Linked DNA regions of Macaca fascicularis. The protein of the gene in region 1 purifies or fractionates together with the protein of each later gene. This does not show direct contact. Links are inferred from orthologs where the notes say so. Each region holds a gene or a part of one and is shown on either strand. Other genes may lie near its edges.

What was found. Proteins that work in one complex are often made in the same cells at the same time.
Region 2: the proteins of CAMKV (region 1) and TCOF1 purify together in Homo sapiens (affinity purification with mass spectrometry; 3 studies listed by BioGRID and IntAct, counting the BioPlex papers as one, with this or other methods). This does not show direct contact. The link is inferred for Macaca fascicularis from reciprocal best matches to the Homo sapiens genes CAMKV and TCOF1.
Region 3: the proteins of CAMKV (region 1) and AP3B1 purify together in Homo sapiens (affinity purification with mass spectrometry; 3 studies listed by BioGRID and IntAct, counting the BioPlex papers as one, with this or other methods). This does not show direct contact. The link is inferred for Macaca fascicularis from reciprocal best matches to the Homo sapiens genes CAMKV and AP3B1.

Annotation. Positions count from the first base shown.
Region 1 is NC_088376.1:112,891,249-112,894,113, reverse strand, and holds the end of CAMKV (caM kinase-like vesicle-associated protein), read left to right. Parts: intron 1-25; coding exon 26-113; intron 114-402; coding exon 403-966; 3' UTR 967-2,297; downstream 2,298-2,865. UniProt on the Homo sapiens protein: Does not appear to have detectable kinase activity.
Region 2 is NC_088380.1:157,261,694-157,265,347, forward strand, and holds part of TCOF1 (treacle protein), read left to right. Parts: intron 1-2,389; coding exon 2,390-2,515; intron 2,516-3,654.
Region 3 is NC_088380.1:82,071,488-82,075,141, reverse strand, and holds part of AP3B1 (AP-3 complex subunit beta-1), read left to right. Parts: intron 1-2,037; coding exon 2,038-2,185; intron 2,186-3,654. UniProt on the Homo sapiens protein: Subunit of non-clathrin- and clathrin-associated adaptor protein complex 3 (AP-3) that plays a role in protein sorting in the late-Golgi/trans-Golgi network (TGN) and/or endosomes.

The sequences.
Region 1 (2,865 bases):
CCAGACACACTTGCACCCTTTCCAGGATTTCTGGCAATGCTGCTTCTGATAAGAACATCAAGGATGGTGTCTGTGCCCAGATTGAAAAGAACTTTGCCAGGGCCAAGTGGAAGGTAAGGCTTGGATAGCTCCCTTCTTGGCTCTATCCCAACTATTCCTTCTGGCACTCAGTTTCTTGCCTGCATCACACCCCTGCAGCCACACATAAGCTTTTCTCAGGCCATCAGGTGTGGGTGTAGCCACTGCGATTACCTTAAGTAGGAGTGCTGAGCAGCTGGGTACTTGGCCCTGGGGTGGATGGAGGTGGCCGGGGGTACTATGGAAGGAGTTTGGTCTGGTCACTGCCAAGCAATGGATCCAGCAAGCTTCACCCTTAGCCTTTCTCCACTGTGCTCCTTTCAGAAGGCTGTCCGAGTGACCACCCTCATGAAACGGCTCCGGGCGCCAGAGCAGTCCAGCACGGCTGCAGCCCAGTCGGCCTCAGCCACAGACACTGCCACCCCCGGGGCTGCAGGTGGGGCCATAGCTGCAGCTGCGAGTGGAGCTACCTCAGTCCCTGAGGGTGATGCTGCTCATGCTGCAAAGAGTGATAATGTGGCCCCCGCAGACCGTAGTGCCACCCCAGCCACAGATGGAAGTGCCACCCCAGCCACTGATGGCAGTGTCACCCCAGCCACTGATGGAAGCATCACTCCAGCCACTGATGGGAGTGTCACCCCAGCCACTGACAGGAGCGCTACTCCAGCCACTGATGGGAGAGCCACACCGGCCACAGAAGAGAGCACTGTGCCCACCATCCAAAGCAGTGCCACACTAGCCACCAAGGCAGCTGCCACCCCTGAGCCGGCTATGGCCCAGCCGGACAGCACAGCCCCAGAGGGCGCCACAGGCCAGGCTCCACCCTCTAGTAAAGGGGAAGAGGCTGCTGGTTATGCCCAGGAGTCTCAAAGGGAGGAGGCCAGCTGAGTAGGCAGCCTGGTGAGGGGGGGCGGGGGATGGGCAGGAGGGTGGGAGAGTGGATGAGGGGCTTCTCACTGTACATAGAGTCACTGGCATGATGCCCTCGCTCCCCCATGCCCCCACATCCCAGTGGGGCATACTTAGGGGTCACGGGAGAGCAGTCTCGTCTCCTGTGTGTATGTGTGTGAGTGGTGGGCAGGCCAGTGGCAGGGCCAGCCCCAGCCCCTGCATGGATTCCTTGTGGCTTTTCTGTCTTTTGCTAGCTTCACCAGTTTCTGTTCCTTGTGGGATGCTGCTCTAGGGATACTCAGGGGGCTCCTGCTCTCCTTCCCCTTCCCTTCTTGCTTCACCATTCCCCTAGGCAGGCCCTGCAGGTCCCACACTCTCCCAGGCCCTAAACTTGGGCGGCCTTGCCCTGAGAGCTGGTCCTCCAGCGAGGCCCTGTCAGCGGTCTTAGGCTCCTGCACATGAAGGTGTGTGCCTGTGGTGTGTGGGCTGCTCTAGGAGCGGATACAGGCTGGTATAGAGGATGCAGAAAGGTAGGGCAGTATGTTTAAGTCCAGACTGGGCACATGGCTAGGGACACTGCTCTCTAGCTGTGGGGGTCCTCAGGAGTGGAGAGAATGAGTAGGAAGGCAGAAGCTTCCATATTTGTCCCTCCTAAGACCCTGTTATTTGTGTTATTTCCTGCCCTCCTGAGTCCTGCAGTGGGCTGCCCTGTACCTTGAACCTCATGAGCCTCTAAGGGAAAGGAGGAACAATTAGGATGTGGCAATGAGACCTGGCAGGGCAGAGTACAAGCCCAGCACCCAGTGTTCCAGCCTAACTAGGTCCTTACCCTGGGCCAAACAGGGAGGGCTGATATCTCCTTGCTCTTCTTAGATGTCCACCCCCTACAATCTCAACCCACAAGTCCTCTCCACCCTAGGGGGCTTGCTGCATGGCAATACCCCATAATCTGATTTGGGGGTTTGCCCTTTACAGGGGCAGATTTTCTGCTCAGTTCAACAATGAAATGAAGAGGAACTCCCTCTATTTTTACAGCTCACTTCTATCAGAGGCCCAGGTGCCTCAGAGCCACATTGAGTTGCTGTTGCTGGGAAGAGGAAGTAGAGTTAAAGTCCCCAGTTTCCTGAGGGAGGCTCCTGACAGGTGCCCTTTGTCAGACCCAATCACAGCCTGGACAGGCAGCCACATTGGTCCTCGCCCTTGCTTGGCACTCCTTGGTGGTCCTGCCCTTCTCCCTGCATGCCTGTGGGTCTGCTCTGGTGTGTGAAGGTCGGTGGGTTAACTGTGTGCCTGCTGAACCTGGCAAATAAACATCACCCTGCAAAGCCTCTGGCCACCCTCTTGCCTTTGCTTCCTCTGTCCTACTGGGGAGGAGCCCCTGGAAGGCAGTGGGGAGGGGAGAGGCTGGGAGCAGGTTCATAAGTAGTGGCTGGGAGTAGTAGTGAACAGTGCCCTGTGGATTTCTTGGGCTGAGAGTGAAGATCATCCTCACCACAGTGTATTCCTCAATGGTGGTGGTGGTGGGGGTCCTCTGGACTCTAGAAATCCATGTGAGTAGTGGGTCTTGGGCTGCATTTGGACCGAGGAATACTCCCTGGGCTGAGAGCTCAAGTAAGGGCTGCTGTTTTTGACTCCTGTTGACCGAGGAGCCTCACTCTTGATTTAGGCATAGAGCTGGAATCTACCTGGGCCAGCCACCACAAGGACAGACCCTGCTATTAGCCAAAGATAGCTTCCCTGAGCTGGGGAGAGGGTGTAGGGTGAGCAGTGCACAAAGATTCTATAATGCTCTGCGTTCTTCCTGTGAACACCTGTGCTTTCCACATATGCCCCAAATGAAATCTCACTCTGGGTCTATTTCAGCTGGAGCAGATCAGCTTTATATTATGGGGCTAT
Region 2 (3,654 bases), on another chromosome or scaffold:
GTGTGTGATGGACGTGACTGATGCAGGCCTGGCAGAAATGATAGATGTCAGCCGGGCGCAGTGGCTCAAGCCTGTAATCCCAGTAGCTTGGGAGGCCAAGGCGGGCAGATCATGAGGTCAGGAGTCCAAGACCAGCCTGGCCAACATGGTGAAACCCTGTCTCTACTAAAAAAAAAAAAAAAAAAAAATACAAAAATTAGCCAGGCATGATGGCGGGTGCCTGTAGTTCCAGGTACTCGGGAGGCCGAGGCAGGAGAATTGCTTGAACCTGGAAAAGCGGAGGTTGCAGTGAGCCAAGATCGTGCCATTGCACTCCAGTCTGGGCAACAGAGTGAGACTCTGTCTCAAAAAAAAAAAAAAAAAAAAAAATGTCAGGAGAGATGGTAGATAATGGTAGCAAGTAGGACAGACCGGGGAGCCCTTGCCCCATCCATAAGGACAGTTCCTATCAGCTTCAGCCAGTCATGACTGTGGAAATGGACCTTCTTTGTGGCCAGATCTTCCATTTCTTAAGGGAAGCTGGAAGTCCCTGTGCCAGGCCAAGCTGCATAACCTCTCTTAGATTTGTTTTCGTCATGAGTAAAACAAGCACTGAGATGAATGCTCCCTATCCCTAACCTCTGCCTTTGATATAACAAACCATTACTGGGGGCGAAAGACATTTGGCCCTGCCCTCAAGGAGCTCACAGTCTGTGGGGCAAGACAGGTGGCCGGATTATCGCAGAGTATGCTGGTGGTGCTGACAGCTGAAAGAGCAGGTCTCTGAGAGGCCAGAAGAGGAGCGGGTGATGGAGCTGAAGGATGACCAGGCACAAAAGTGGACAGGGCCCCTCAGTGGGTGCAGACGGGCTGGGCATGAACGTGCATGGTCACTGAAGGCTGCTGTCCTACAAGCCGTAGGCCCTCCCAGGTGCTTGTTACTGGTAGATTTATGGAGGACCTAAATGACAGACTAAAGCATAGGCCTCAGCCATATTTTGGCCTGTGTAGTATTTTTGTTTTTAAGTTTTCAACGAGTTCCTCTCTCCATCAGAATGGCCTAAGTTGCAGGAGAAAGCCCCATTCAAAAGAGCTTCACTAAGGGGATTGACTCTTACAGTGCACAGAGTCCCAGGTTCCAGCTGCTGAAAAGCTGGTTCCTTCAGCTAAGCATCAGTGGTGACCAGATTTCCATCTCTGTGCTCCATCAGCTTTATGGTCATAGCAGGGCTGCAGCATCTCCTAAAGTGCTGGGGGCAGGCCAGGTGCAGTGGCTCACACCTGTAATCCCAGCACTTTGGGAGGCTGAGACAGGCGGATCACTGGAGGTCAGGAGTTCAAGACCAGCCTGGCCAACATGGCGAAACCTGTCTCTACTAAAAATACAAAAATTAGCTGGGCCTGGTGGCACTGGCCTGTAATCCCAGCTGAGGCAAGAGAATCACTTGAACCCGGGGAGGAGGAGGTGTTGCAGTGAGTAAGATTGTGCCACTGCACTCCAGCCTGGGCGACAGAGTGAGCAGAGCAAGAGTCCATCTCAAAAAAGACTGAGGAGTAGACTTAAGGCTACTCAGACCTCAGGCTGGATGTGCTAGCTACCCTCTTAGCCATAGACAAGAAGCCAGTAGTTCCCATGACTGGCTGGGAGGAGGGACCACCCTCCCTGAAGCATGTGGTAGGAGCCACTGAACAGTGAGGGTTCTGTTAGCAAGGAACAGATGGGGGCATGGCTGTTAGGAGGCAGCCAGCAGTGTGCATTGTAGTTGCCCCATTTAAAAATTGGAAATGACGTACAGATCTTCCAGCTTCTCTTGAGAAATTGGAAGCTCAGGCAGCCTGGGTCCTACTTTCTTGGCTAGGCTGAGTAGGGAAAAGGGGTCCCCCATTCCAGTAGGGACCACTGAGCTGCCATCACCACCAGCATTTCCACCCGGATCTCTGAGTCCTCCTCTGACTGCAGTGTTCACCAGTCCAGCCCCCATTATCATGCCTGCCCCAGCAGGAGGGTATGGTAGCCAGTGGAACACTTCTAGGCAGCTCCTGCTTTTGGCTGGGGATGTTACAACCAGAGGTGAACTGTGCTGGGACCACTGGCTTGTGCCTGCAACCTTGTCCCAGGCTGCTGTCACCTCTTGTCCAGACCCTGGGCCAACAGCCCTGCAGCCCTCAGGTTTTAGCTGTATCGGAGTCATAAATCCCTTTCACGTTCGAAGTTAGCTCTGGAAGGAGCTAGCAGGGTGGAAGCATGTTTCCGGTGGCTGTGGGGCAGGTCAGAGCAGCAGCTATTCCTGTGCATGTGCAGGAAGGGGCCACGGTGCCTCCCCTGGAAACCAGAGTGCCTGAGGATCATTGCCTGCTGGCTCTTTCCCCCTCAGCAAATGCCCCTCTCCCCGACCACGTGCTTATCCAGGTCTTGTCCCCTCAGAAGGACAGTAACTCCAAACCTGCCAGAAGCAAGACCCTGGCCCCAGCACCTCCAGAGGGGAACACGGAGGGGTCCTCGGAGAGCAGTGAGGAAGAGCTGCCACTGACCCAGGTACGCCATGCCTTCTCTTTGCAGTCGCTGCAGGGTCAGAGCTGGGCTGGCAGGCCTTGCGGGAGAGGGCAGGTCTTTCCCATAGGGAAAAATCTCATCATATTTAAACAGCATCTCACAGCTTCCAGAGCTCTTTCCTCTATTGTGACATTCATCTGAGCCCTGTGAGGCAGGCAGCAGTGCACAGTTAAACATACAGGCTTCAGAGTGTTGGGTCGAAGCCCGGCTCTACCACCTAACAGCTCCGTGGTCCTGGGCAGACGCCTTTCTCCTATGTGAGGCTCAATGTTTCAACCATAAAATGGGGTTAGTACTAGTGCCTCCCTCCTGCCTCTGCACTGGAGCCAGCACACGAAGTACTTGCCACAGTCCCCTGCCTAAGAAAGGGTGCCTGGTGACTGTGAGAAGGCCAGGGAGTGTTGCCCCGTTTGACAGATCGGGAATCAAGCCTTAGAGTTGAAGCAGTTTCCCGAAATTCTCATGATTCATAAGAGGCTGAGGAAAGGTGCAAGCACTGGTCCCCTGGCTCCCTATATCTCTGTTGCCTGTTTAGGACCGGGAGTCTTCTCAAATCCCATGAGCTTTGCCCAGGACTCTTTCTCAAGCGCCTGTGGCATACCTTCACATGCTCCACTGCACCCAGAGCTTAAGCCACAGTCCTGACCAGGCTACACCCCCAAGGATGAGACCAGGCCCACCTTATCTCCCTGTACTCCAGAGGCCTAAGTCAGCCATGCTGGTGTGGTTCAAGCTTCTGTGTGAACCCTGGCCCTTCCATCAGACAGCATTACCCTTTGTCCTCTAGCCCCAAGCTCACAGAAGCTTCTGCCAGGCACCTCAGAGCACCAGCTCCCCTCCCAGGGCCTAACGACAGATCCTGGAGTTCTGCAACCTCCAGACCAGAGTGGTCTCATGAACCACCTCCCCTTGAATATCACATACCACGTTCTTACCAATTCATCAGTAAGGTCAGATGCTGTTTGCACACTTCCAGCAATAGGGTGCTCACTGCCTCTCACTTTCCAATAGCACAGATTACAAAAGTAAAGAACAACCACCACCAACATCGGTAACTCCCTGTATTTGCATTTTTCTGTTTAATCCCCACAACAGCCCTATGAGGGTGGCTCCCTTTGTGG
Region 3 (3,654 bases), on another chromosome or scaffold:
CTTTCTTCAGAAATAGATTTTTCTCTTTACCCACATTTGAATTTAAAAGAATTGTTTATTACAAAGAGAACCACAAATACATTCTAAACCTTATATTTTTAAGTACACATTTTAACCAGTGAATTGGGGATAATAAATTGCCGTTTTTTTGCCAGGGAAAAACAACAACATATTTTTCAGTCTTCAAATATAATTACATGTGCTCTGAGATGTTGCCATGGCTCCATTTTTAATAAACAGCAATCATATTTCCTCTACAAAAATCAATTCTAGGAAATATCGATTCTTTCCTTGCCTCACTCCTCTCCCTCCCCCAGTATTTTTCTGCCTCTTAGAATGTTTTTTTAACTTTGCTAGTATGATAATTTTTTAAAGCTCTTAATAAGCTTTAAGCATCTTCAAAAACCACCCTTTAGTAATCATAAATATTTATGACCGAATTTAAATTTTACACTCCAAAGTGTTTTCATTTGAAGGGAGATAGTATGACATAGTGGAAAAAATACGGACTTTGGAGTGAGACAGGCTTGAGTTCAGATTCTAGTTCTGCCCCTCTTGTTATGTGTCCCTGAGCAAGTTATTTAACCTTTCTGAATATTAATTTCATTATTGTAAATGGGATAATAATGTACCCAGGAAGAGTGCATTTAAATTAGGTAATCAGTATGATTGGTATGAAATGCCTAGCCCTTTCTGGCCCACAGTAGATTCTTAAAAATATACACACACATGTTGTAGAGAGAACTAGACTTTTAGTTTCCAGGAAAATATAAAACACCACAAGGCATCTCTCATCCCCTGAGATAAGGGTGTTTGGTCATCTCACATGTTATTCCTTCTCCTTGGAGAGCTGCTTCCCTGCCCATCTGCCAGCCTTACTCCTATATCTTGGCTTATATGTCTCTTTCTCCAGGAAGCATTCCTAATTGGATTAAGTTTGTTTAGGTGTCTCTCCAAATGTTCTCCTGACACACTATAATTTATTACTTACTATACTGTATTATCACTGCCACCTTATCTATATCCTCCAGTGGACTGTAGACTCTGTAGGGTAGACACACATAGATCCTCTTAACCATTGTTATCCTTAGCACCTAACATAATGCCAACATGTAGTCAAAAATTAATTAATATTTGTTGAGCAGATGAACAAATGAACAAATGAATGGTGTTAAGCACTTAGGTATGATCATTTGGTAATTTAAAAGTTTATATTTGATTAGCTTAAATTTGTAGCAAGATAGTACTTTAGAAGTTCCTTTGTTAACCAGAAACACATTTCTCATAGAATGTGTTTAAGGTCACATTTGAGAACTTGTAGTAAGTAATTTTCTTGGGTAGAAAAGTGTATAAAATACAAGTCTATTTTAGCAAAAGTAGATATATAAATATTTAAATATATTACTAAACCGGGTGTGGTGGCTCAAGCGTGTAATCCCAACATTTTGGTAGGCCGAGTTGGGAGGATTACTTGAGCCCAGGAGTTCCAGACCAGCCTAGGCAATATCGTGAGACCCTGTCTCTACAAAAAATATAAAATTAGCTGGATGTGGTAGTGCCCGCCTGTAGTCCCAACTACTTGTGAGGCTGAAGTGGGAGAATCGCTTGAGCCTGGGAGATCGAGGCTGCAGTGAGCCATGATTGCACCACTGTACTCCAGCCTAGATGACAATGAGACCCTGTCTCCAATATATATATGTGTATACACACACAGTATTTTGAGATAGCATTTTAAAAATCAGCCTAAATATCTTTGAAGTTGTTACTGGTAGTACTTAATTCTTGGTAAATCAGACATTTAATATTTTCTACATTGTTTTTGATTATATTGTTTAGTGTCATTTTATGACTTTTTGCATATGAAGTGTGTATGACAGGATAGAATTGAATTTGAATGGGTTCTAATTTATTTGGTTATGGGTAATACCTTCATTATTACCTCATTAATGTATTCTGGAATTTAAAAACCATTTTTTATATAAACGACTTATATAAAGGAGTTAAAGTTGATATTTCAAAATTTACTATTATATATAGTGATTCTGAAGATGGGGAGAAGGAAAATGAAAAATCTAAAACTTCAGATTCTTCAAATGCCGAATCTAGTTCAATAGAAGACAGTTCTTCAGATTCTGAATCAGAGTCAGAATCTGAAAGTGAATCTGAATCCAGAAAAGTCACTCAGGTAAGAGATTATGCATTTGTTGTAATTGAAGGTAAATATACAGCAACTAAAATAAACAACACCATCCTTATCTATGCCTGTAATTTTTTATTTTTTCTAGATAAGCCTTTCCCTTATAACCTAACTCTGAAGAAAAGCTAGAAACTTTCAAAAAATCTCATCCCTTGCCACCGAAATCAGGGAACTCTTATGCATATGGCTTTTTTTGTTCTTGGCTAGGTTGTGACAAGGGGTGTTTTTGCTGAAGGGACTGTGAAAGGAAGTCACAAAAAATAGTATTGAGCAAAGAATTCTAAGCATACATACATCATCAGAAATTTAGACTATTCAGTTTTTTAAAATATTGGGCATTTTGCATAATAGAGTATGTTTTAAAGCTTTAATTAAAGAGTATACATTCTTTAGTAAGAATTTGCATAGACATTTAAAAACAAATGCAAGAGCCACTTATATAATAAAATAATAATGCTTTTTGGTAATAACGTTTGTAACACTGAATTTTGCCTGCTTAGCAGGAAAAAAATAAAGTATAAATTGCAAAAATGTAGTTATTAATGTAAAATGTATTCTATCTGATTTCAGGTCTAGTTAAATGAATAAAATAATAATACAGAATTCAGACCTAATTATAATTATCTTTTTGGTCTTTAATAATCACCCCTTTCCTATAAATGGGCCGTGTTCATGCTAGACTTCAAGTATAGTAGTTTTATGTATAACTGTGTTATTCTGTTTGTTGAAAATATGGCCAAACTCTGCCTTTGATTCAGTTCAGTTTCTTCTTAATCCAATATTGTTTTTGTTTATTTGTTCTATTAACTTGAATTTCTTCAGTATGTTATCTGAGTAGGCAAGGATGAAAATTAATTTATTGAAGTAGACAATTGCCCTCCCCCATCCAAAGATTTATTGTTAAAGAATGTTTTTAAAATTGGCTAGCCTTATTTCACATTTTCTTGCATTTATTAAAACCTATCTTAAACTTGAATTTATATTTAAAACTTGTGTCTGTATATAAAATAACCTAAGATTTTTATTTTTAAAAAATTCACATAAAATCTTAAGAGATTTTATGGTTTATTAATCTGGCCTGATATAAAAACTTATCACATAGTGAGTTTGATGTACTCTCATTTCGTACTTACATCAAATTACCAGAAAGTTTAAAATGTTATTGAAAATAAAGAGAGTTACAAATCGACAGTAAGTACAACCCAGAGTAAGAAGTATTTTTTTTAAATGACTGAACAAGAAATCAGTGAGTGTCGAGTGGTGGAAGTTATTCTTAGGAAGTTTTATAACAGTTGAAAAATTATAGACTTCAGTTCCTCTGTACTATTAGAAACAGAGCTTTAGGATGCCATTAAAAAGCCACAGTGGTTGAACATCATGTTGTGTTGTACCCCTTCCTCCCCCTGAAAAAAACAAAAGAAGATAAAAGCCACGGGGGCACTCCAGGTCAGTGATTC